2 linked regions of the Oryctolagus cuniculus genome follow. The protein of the gene in region 1 interacts with the protein of each later gene in a biochemical or structural test. Links are inferred from orthologs where the notes say so. Each region holds a gene or a part of one and is shown in the gene's direction. Other genes may lie near its edges. The genes, in order: PLAU and plasma serine protease inhibitor.

What was found.
Region 2: the proteins of PLAU (region 1) and plasma serine protease inhibitor form a complex in vitro, tested with the Homo sapiens proteins (2 studies listed by BioGRID). The link is inferred for Oryctolagus cuniculus from reciprocal best matches to the Homo sapiens genes PLAU and SERPINA5.

What each region holds. Positions count from the first base shown.
Region 1 is NC_091446.1:64,942,807-64,947,164, forward strand, and holds the start of PLAU (urokinase-type plasminogen activator), read left to right. Parts: upstream 1-1,423; 5' UTR 1,424-1,497; exon of another isoform or gene 1,498-1,524; intron 1,525-1,851; 5' UTR 1,852-1,882; coding exon 1,883-1,939; intron 1,940-2,361; coding exon 2,362-2,395; intron 2,396-2,544; coding exon 2,545-2,652; intron 2,653-2,973; coding exon 2,974-3,148; intron 3,149-3,349; coding exon 3,350-3,441; intron 3,442-3,597; coding exon 3,598-3,817; intron 3,818-4,033; coding exon 4,034-4,182; intron 4,183-4,358. UniProt on the Homo sapiens protein: Specifically cleaves the zymogen plasminogen to form the active enzyme plasmin.
Region 2 is NC_091451.1:39,381,521-39,386,073, forward strand, and holds the start of plasma serine protease inhibitor, read left to right. Parts: upstream 1-1,457; 5' UTR 1,458-1,596; intron 1,597-4,553. UniProt on the Homo sapiens protein: Heparin-dependent serine protease inhibitor acting in body fluids and secretions. Inactivates serine proteases by binding irreversibly to their serine activation site. Involved in the regulation of intravascular and extravascular proteolytic activities.

The sequences.
Region 1 (4,358 bases):
CAGGAGAAGCACCTGGCTCCTGGCTTCAGATCATCATGGTGCAACAGCCACAGCACACTGGCTGCAGCGGCCATTGCGGGGTGAACCAATGGAAAAGGATAGACCTTCCTCTCTGTCTCTCTCTCTCACTGTCCACTCTGCCTGTCAAAAAACAAACAAAAAAAACTTTAAACTGGGACCAGTGTTGAGATGTGGCATGTTAAGTCACCGCTTGTGACATACTGGCATCTCCTGCCTGAGTGCCAGCTTGAGTTCCAGCTGCTTCACCTCCAGTCTAGCTCCCTGCTAATGTGCCTGGGAAAGCAGCCAGAGATGGCCTAAGTACCTGGGACCCTGCTACCTATGTTGGAGACCTGGATGGAGCTGCAGGCTGCTGGCTTCAACCTGGCCAAGCCCTAGCCATTGTGGCCATTTGGAAAGTGAACCAACAGTCTGAAGATCTCTTTCTCTGTCTGTCACTCTGTTTTTAAACAAATAAAATAAATATTTTTTTTAAAGCCTAAAAGGGCATACAGTGAGAAATAAATACTTTTCCTATCTTGTTCTCTAGTCCTCTTCCTACCCCTCCATAGCTTCCTGCCTGCATTTTAATAAGGTTTTACCGTTCCACTGTTTTTATTAACCAACTTTATCTTTGCCCAAGCAAATAAACAAATTGTTCATTACAAGAACTTCCCCAAAACTCATCAGCACTTCTACAGGAAGCATCTATGGCTTGCATCCTAAGTCTTTGTTCCCACAGTCCTACAATATCATACTACTACCCTCAAGCTTTCGGAAGCCCCCACTTTCAAAGACTAACCATGAACCAAACTGCAAACTCCCAGTAAAATCTGACCTTGCCTCTCCCGCTCTGACATCACTGTAACTCCTTGACCGCCGGTAAGCAATCAGCTCAGCCTGTCTTATCCACTGGTTTTATTTGTAATATCCGGGGATCTGACAGCCCCTGTTGGCAGGAATCTTTGTGTTTGTGTTAGGAAGCGGATGTTATATGCATTTTTCACGCTGACAAAGAGACAGCTGCATACTATGCCCCTATACTGGGGGTCTGAATCATTGCCTAGGCAGGTGGGGGCCGAGGGTGGAAAGGTTGGGAAGAACTGATTGCAGGACTCCTGAGAAGGCTTCAGAGTTGGGAGGGTGTTTCCTGAGTTCCTTCTCCTCGCTGCAACTCAGCGCCCCCAGCCCCGGCGCGGGCTCAGGGCCAGGTGAACGGGAAGAGAGCGGAGAATTTATACGCCTTCGGACTCGCCTCTTCTCCTCCGCTGGGGATCGTGCTCTTTGTTAAAGTTTTCGGAAGCGCACGGGGTTCTAGTCGCAGCAGTCCGCAGGGAACAGCAGGAGAGGGCGGAGAGTGCAGCCTGCGCTCGGAGCGGGGGCGGGGCCCGGGCCTGGGCGGGTCCTCATATACAGCCGGCGTCCAGCGCCAGCAGCACAAGGCGGAATCTGGAGCGCCGGATCTGGGCTGAGCGTCCACCTACACCCGCAGCGCAGGTCCGCATCCTCCTGCCGCAGCCACTGGTGAGCAAGGGTGGTCCCAAGAGCGTCGGGCGGGATGCGCAGCGGTCCCGGCTCCCGGGCGCCTGCCTTTCCTCTACCTCGGGCTGCCGGGCTGCGCAGCGGCTGCCGGCAATCCCTGCTCCCGATCCCAAGCGTTCCCAAGCGGGTGCAGGTCTAGGATTCTCTGAGTCTGCAGTCCCCAGACAAGAGAGGTGGCTGGTCCTGGGGAACCTAGTCACCGAGGGCTCGGCCCGCAGGAACCTGGGGCTCCTCCCTGTGCTGCAGTAACCCGCACTGGCGGCCTTCTCGCTCTTCTGCTTCTTACCCTGACTTCTCCTTCCCTTGCAGAGCCGCTGTATAGGGCCCCAGCCTCGCCACCATGAGAGTCCTGCTGGTATGCCTGCTTCTCTGCGCCCTGGTCGTGAGCGACTCCGAAGTGAGTGACTTTCCTGATTTGTCTTGTGTCGCAAAAGGGGGTGTGCAGGACCCCGAATAGCGCCAGGGGAAGGGGAGATTCACTTAACAGCCTTGCCAGACTCCCCTGAGAGAATAGGAAAGGTGAGGCAGTGGGGGCTTTGAGAACTATGGGGGCTTGCACTTGTGGGCAAGGGTGGAAGAACCCCCAGGACTGCCCCAGTTTGAAGGCACCTACTATGTAAAGCTCACTTCATTCAACTCATTTTTCTCTACTGGAAACCCATGATTTTCCATGTGGAGGCTTGTTAGATATAAACAGGGTGAGGGGAGAGAGAGCTGGCCAGAAGAGTGGATTTGGGAATGGTGCCAGTTTATCCACTCCCTGGAGTCCCAGGAGCATGAGACCTTCGGTGACCTGCCCCTCTCCCCCCTCTCTTCCAGGGAAGCCATGAACTTCACGGAGTGTCTGATGCTTGTGAGTATCCACCCCTTGCACAACAATTGGCTGCACAGGCATCTTGGAAAAGCCTTAGAGGGCAGCCACTCCTTGTCCCTGCTGCAGAACTGCCTCCCCTCCTCTACCGTGCTCCAGCTCCTTGTTTACCCTACCTTTGTACTTTCCAGCAAACTGCGGCTGTCTGAATGGAGGAACATGTGTGACCTACAAGTACTTCTCCAACATTTGGCGATGTAACTGCCCAAAGAAATTCCAAGGAGAGCACTGTGAGATAGGTATGGGGATCCTGACTCTAACCTGGAAGAGGAGGCACAAGAGATTGCGGGACAACGAGAGATGGGTGGGATGCAAGCAAAGGCAGGAGTTAGGAGCTGCAGGTGGGGTGGGTGACATCTTCCTTGCAATGTGGTATATACAGCCAAACATAAACACATGCACAAAGAATCTCATGAAGCAGTGGCTGCACAAATGTGAGGTGGGGTGGAAGGAGAAGCTTTGCAGTGTCTTCTGCCCTATCTGAAAGCTTATTATCTCTAAAATGCCGGTTATGCATTTCCTCCTTTACTAACATTTCTTGTCCTCGGATCATTCTGTAGATACATTGAAAACCTGCTATCATGGGGATGGTCACTCTTATCGTGGAAAGGCCAACACTGACATCATGGATCGACCCTGCCTTGCCTGGAACTCTGCCAATGTTCTTACGAAAACATACCATGCCCACAGACCTGATGCCCTTCAGCTGGGCTTGGGGAAACACAATTACTGCAGGTGAGGAAGAGGATGGTAAGGACCTGGAGTCACCCTATGGCTTCACAAAAGCCCTCATTACCAACCCCTTCTCCTACCAGAGTGCTGGCCAGAACATGAGACAAGAGAGGTTTCTGGTTGAGTCATCCCTGGAGGGGAAGGGAGGATGCAGGGAGGACAGTGTGGGTTGGAATGACATCCCCTACCACTCCATGTTGCCAGGAACCCAGACCACCAGAGAAGACCCTGGTGCTATGTGCAGGTTGGCCTAAAGCAGCTCATCCAAGAGTGCAAGGTGCATGACTGCTCTTCAGGTGAGTTTCCCTGGCCTGTTCATCACAGTGGAGTGGAAGGGGACAAACTCACGTGTCCTCTTCTTCCATCACAGAATGAGTGATGAGGGAGGCCTGCCTGAGTGGGCTATTTTATCTTACCTGCCTCCCCAAGACATTTCTCTCTTTCTCCTTTAGGAAAAAAACCTGCCCTTCCTCCAGGAAAATTGGAGTTTCAGTGTGGCCAGAAGGCTCTGAGGCCCCGTTTTAAGATTATTGGGGGAGAATTCACCATCATTGAGAACCAGCCCTGGTTTGCAGCCATCTACAGGAGGCACCGGGGAGGCTCTGTCACTTATGTGTGTGGCGGCAGCCTCATCAGTCCTTGCTGGGTGGTCAGCGCCACACATTGCTTCATGTACGTCCCTCTCTAGTCTCTCAATCTTCCTCCTCCTGCACCCCAAACACATCCCTTTCTTCTTCCCAGCAAAGTACTCCACCTCAATTCTGTCTCACTGAAACATCTGTCTCCTGGCCTTGAGGACAAGTCATGCTTGGAGGCCACTATGATGGGGAGGAGGAGCTGACAGGGTTTCATGAAGTCAGATTGTCTGACAGGTCTTACCTCCCACAGTAATCACCAAAAGAAAGAGGACTACATTGTCTACTTGGGTCGGTCAAGGCTTAACTCCATGACACCTGGGGAGATGAAGTTTGAAGTGGAGCAACTCATCTTGCATGAGGGCTATAGCGCTGACACACTGGCTCATCACAACGATATTGGTGAGTGGAAAGCCCTCACCTGCCATGATGATGATGGCTGTGGAAAGAGGAGCTAAGGAGAGAACCAAGTGGGGGCTAAGGTTGTAGAGCAACTTGAAATCCCTGCTTCGTACAACATGAGGAATGGTGGGAAGTCAGAGAGAAATATATGAAGGCCCTGGTGCTCTTCCATAGAG
Region 2 (4,553 bases), on another chromosome or scaffold:
CCCCTCGTTCCTTGCTGTGTGACTGTGAGCTGATGGCCCAACCTGTCTGTTGCTGCACTGTGTTGGCGCTAAGCAAAACAATTGCCCGAGTCTGCGAAAGTGTGGCCATCTCAGGACCCTATAAAAGTGTGCCCGTCTCGGGACCCTGCGAATGTGTGCCTGTCTCAGGACCGGGCCAGCCATCAGCAGCTGTCTTGCAGCATGGTTATAAAGACTGCAAAGACAGCGTGCCCGAAGCCCTGGGTTTGGTGTGTGGTCCTTTAAAAAGCATCACCAGACGAGGGCTGTTCTTTGTTGCTGCTTCTCGAAGGTGATGATTTCGCTTTTTTTCCTTTTCTTTCCTCTTTTCCCTTCCTTCCTCCCCTTCTTTCCTTTTAGAAACTTCACTGTCTTTAAAGACCCCAAGAATGTCCAGACCATTGAGGAACATCCTCTTAGTTTTTTAATTCCATTCTTTCTGTTTCTTTTTCTTTCTTGGACCAAACAGGAGAGGGAGGAGGCGGGGTAGGGGGGAGTGGGTGGGAGGGCGGGTGCGGTGGGAAGAGTTACTATGTCTCTAATGTTGTAAGTATGAGATACATACAAAATAAATACATAAAAAAGTGTTACTAAACACTCCCTCTTATCTCTGCTGGGGAAACATAGAGAACTCTTTGGGCTCCAAAGTCAGGGAGAAGGGAAAGGTGGGGTCTCGGCCGTTGGGAGGGACACGCCTCCCCCGGGAAGCACCCGGTCTGTGTTTTGCTCAGCCAGCTCCACACTGCGCCTGCGCCCACACGCAGCACCCTGCGGTGAGCGGAAGCCCAGCATGGGGCCTTGGGTCATGGAGCGAGGCTTCAGCCAGGCCCCTGTGCCAGCCGCTTGGGAGTCTTCTGAAGAGGCCAGGACAGAGTTGGAGACCCTCATTTCAAGGCAGGAAGGGTCAGTGCAGCCAAGAGCGCTGGCCTTGAAGTCAGCCCCCGGGCACCAAGCCTCTTTCTGCCACTAACACCATGTGTGACGCTGGATGTTTCCTTCTGCCCTGGCAGCCTCGGCGCAGGCGCTAGTGCACTCAGGGGGTTGGATTCTGTGATGACCCTTTGTCTCAGCTGGGTGGGGGGTGGGGGTGGGGGGCTCACGGAGACCCTCTCCTCCAATTGCCATGGTCTGTGATGCAGTAAGCCCAGCCCAGGCTCAAGCCACGCTCTCCCAATCTGCAGAAAAAGAATTGAGACTAGTGAAAGGGAAGGACTGGCCTGAGGGTGCCCCCTCCCCATTTCTGGAAGGCAGCAGCCAGTGGCCCGTGTAAACCACCCCCACCCCAGAGTGGCCATTCCATTCCAGGCAAGTGGTGATCAGTGTGGGGCTTGGGAGCATGTAAGAGGGGCCTGGTAACAGCCCCTGGCTCCTGCTGCTTTGCTTTCAACAGGAAGCCTGCTGGGACAGGACAGGGCGGGCCAGGCGGGGCCAGGCGGGGCCAGGCGGGGCCAGAGGAGGGGTGGAGACAGAGCCACCGTGGTCAGTCAGGTACAAAGGCTGGCTGTCTCCAGGCAGCCCTCTGCCCTCTGCTGTGTCCGACAGACCGCCACCTCCTTTTGTGCACGCTGGGCCTGCAGAGTAAGTATAGCTCCTGCTCCCGGGGGGCCCGTGGGAGGCACAGGAGTGCAGGGAGGGGCACAGGCAGCCTGGAGCATGGTGGGCTTACAATGCTCAAGAGCCCTGGGGGAGTGTCAGAGCAGCTGGAAGGGCCCCTGCAGGGTCAGGGGGCAAGCGGGGCTCTGAGGCAGCAGAGAGGGTCCCCCCACCCCCGCTCCAGGACCTCGGGCTCCACACTCAATGTGGCAGAGCCTCTGCATGGTGTGGCTCTCACCCCACCACAGCCGGCAGTGTCTGGAGACAGGTGGCCTGTCACCGCTGGACAAGGTAGGACAGGTACTAAGGGCTGGAGGCCAGGGACATCGCCAGACACCCCCCAGTGTACAGCAGGGCCCCGGAGAGGGAAGGATCTTGCTGCCTGTGCCCCCTGGGCCAAGGTCAGGGAGCCCTGAAATAAAGCAGCGGGAAGGTGTCTGCTAGACAGCCCTCAGTCAGTGGTGGCTCGTGCTATTTTCTGGGCCTAGAGACTCAGAAAAATTACCAGGAGAAATGGCCAAAGATAACTCCTTCCCCGAGATAAGGGCCCTGCCTGGGGGCTGCCCCCAGGGGCAGTCGTGGGGTGGCTCCAGGAGCCCTTAGGCGCTTTGTTAAGTAAACAAACAGAGAAAGGAAGTTAACAGCTCTGGATGGCCCCTTGGGCTAAAGCGGCAATCAAAGCAGAGGCTACCCTGGGCCAGGGCCCTGGGTCCCAGCTCAGGGAACCCCAGCCTGAGAGCCGGGGTGCGGGAGGTGCCGGCCACGTCTGGCATTGACTGTCGGGTGGCCTCATGGTGCGCACTCGTGTGCTTGCTGGGGCAGCTCATGAAATCAGCTCAGACCAGCAGAGAGGAAGCCCAGCACACGCTCTGCTCATGCTCAAGGTCACCCGCAGAGCTCAGCTGCGGGTGCCCAGCCTGGCTCTGGTGCCAGCACTCAGTGTCCAGCAGGCGTCCGCCACCTGCGGATTTCACAGGAGGAGCCAAGGTCCATTCATTCCTTCACCTGCTCACTCACTCACTCATTCGCCCCGCCTCGTCCATGATAGCAACAGCTCACTGCAGAGAGTGGGGTTGAGGCACTGGGAGAATTGGGCCTCAGGGCAGAGTGGGCCAGAGAGGCTGGGAGAGCCAGGTCACTGGGGCCTCAAGGGTCAGGGTCACAGTGGACCCCTGCAGTGGTGCACCTCAGTCTTCCTGCCTGTGAAATGGAGCTGCCTCCGTGGGAAAGGCGTGAGGCTGGAGGAGCAGAAATGTCAACACTGTGCGGTGCCCGACAGAGGTGCCGCCGCCACCATGGGCCTGGGCCTCCCGCACGGCGATGGCAGAGGCTGCTGGCTTGGTGCCGGGGGGCTGTGGCTCTGCAGGCACAGCCTCCTCCATCAGCCTCCTTCTCCAAGCTCAGCGTGCAGCGTGGAGGCCAGGAGTACTCAACGTGGCTCAGACAGACAGACCTGCAGCCCTGGTCTGCCCATCTCTCCCCGGCTCAGCAACCATTTCCCACGCCACTGCTGGGGGCCCCTTGGGCGTGGTTGGGGTCAGGTGACCGGCAGGCTGGCCCCGCTTGCCCTGGGCCTGCAGGGCCCGATAGGATGGTGCCCAGAGTGGGAGAGAACCCAGCAGGAGGGGACTCACTCCAGGAATGGAACGCAGCGGGGACAACCGCCTAGAAGCAGGCAGGCCATCCGCAGCTCGGCAATCGGCTGCCGGGGCTGCTTTCAGGTGCACAGGAGGGTACGTGTAGAAGGCGTGCACCCCACGCAAAGCAGATGAAATGGGGTCTCAGGCGAGGCCTTGGCCAGACGTGGCCCCACTGGCTCCTCATGCACTGGCACTTCTGCCAGCTTTTATCTATGGTGATCAGCTGAAGGCCACAGGTGCCCAGGGAGCCGGTCCTGATATCACTTCTGCCTTTCGGGTGGGAGTGGGGGCTCCAGTGTAACTGACCTGCCCCACATCACATGACCAGGCCGCAGTAGGGCTGAGATTGGCACCGGGTAGTGGGCTTTGCAGTGTGGGCTCTGCAAAGCCGTGGGGTAGACGAGGGACTTAGAACAGAAGCCAGACAGGGAAGCAGGAACAGGAGATGGCTCCAGGGTGGAGGAAGGGAGGGAGGAGGTGCTGAAGGCAGAAGGCAGGCAGAAAGAGCTAAGCTGACACAGGCCACCTGACGGCCCCCAGGGCCACGCGGAGAGCCTCCTCCTCTGGAAGATGGAAAGAGAAGATGGGCTGTGTCCTGGGGCACCAGAGACAACCCCCCCCCCCCCCCCCCCGCCGCCGCCTGAGCAGCAGAAATTCCTCTCTAGTGCTGGAGGCCAAGCCTGAGACCGAGGTGCCAGGGGGTCTCTGCAGGCCCCTCCGTGGTGGATAGATGCTGCCTTCTCCGTGTCCCACCGTGGTCCTGCTCTGCACCTGTCATGTCCACAGCCCCGTGCACCTGTGTGTCCTCACCTCTGCACCTGTGTGTCCTCACCTCTGCACCTGTCTGTGTCCTCACCTCTGCACCTGTGTGTCCTCACCTCCTCTGCACTTGTGTGTCCACAGCCCCTCTGCACCTGTGTGTCCTCACCTCTGCACCTATCTGCGTCCTCACCTCCCCTTCTATTATGAGGACATTGGTCTGGTCCCTCCCTAGTGGCCTTGTTTTGGCTCGATCACCTCTATCAAGGCTCTGTCTTTAAATGCATCCTGCGGTCTCAGGGTCAGGATGTCCACACAGCAGCTGATGACACGGAAGAGGAGGGGCCTGGATGCGCACAGTAAGAGGCAACTTCCTGAGCGGGGGTGGCCTGCTCAGCTACCGGGAGAGAAGGGGCAGTTGTCTGTGTGCCGGTGCCCTGCCCGGCACAGGGGAAGCTCACGGTGTGAACCGGGACAGCAGGGCTCAGAGCCCACAGCGGGCAGCTGCTCTGAATTTGCAGAGGCACAGGACACCAAAGGGAA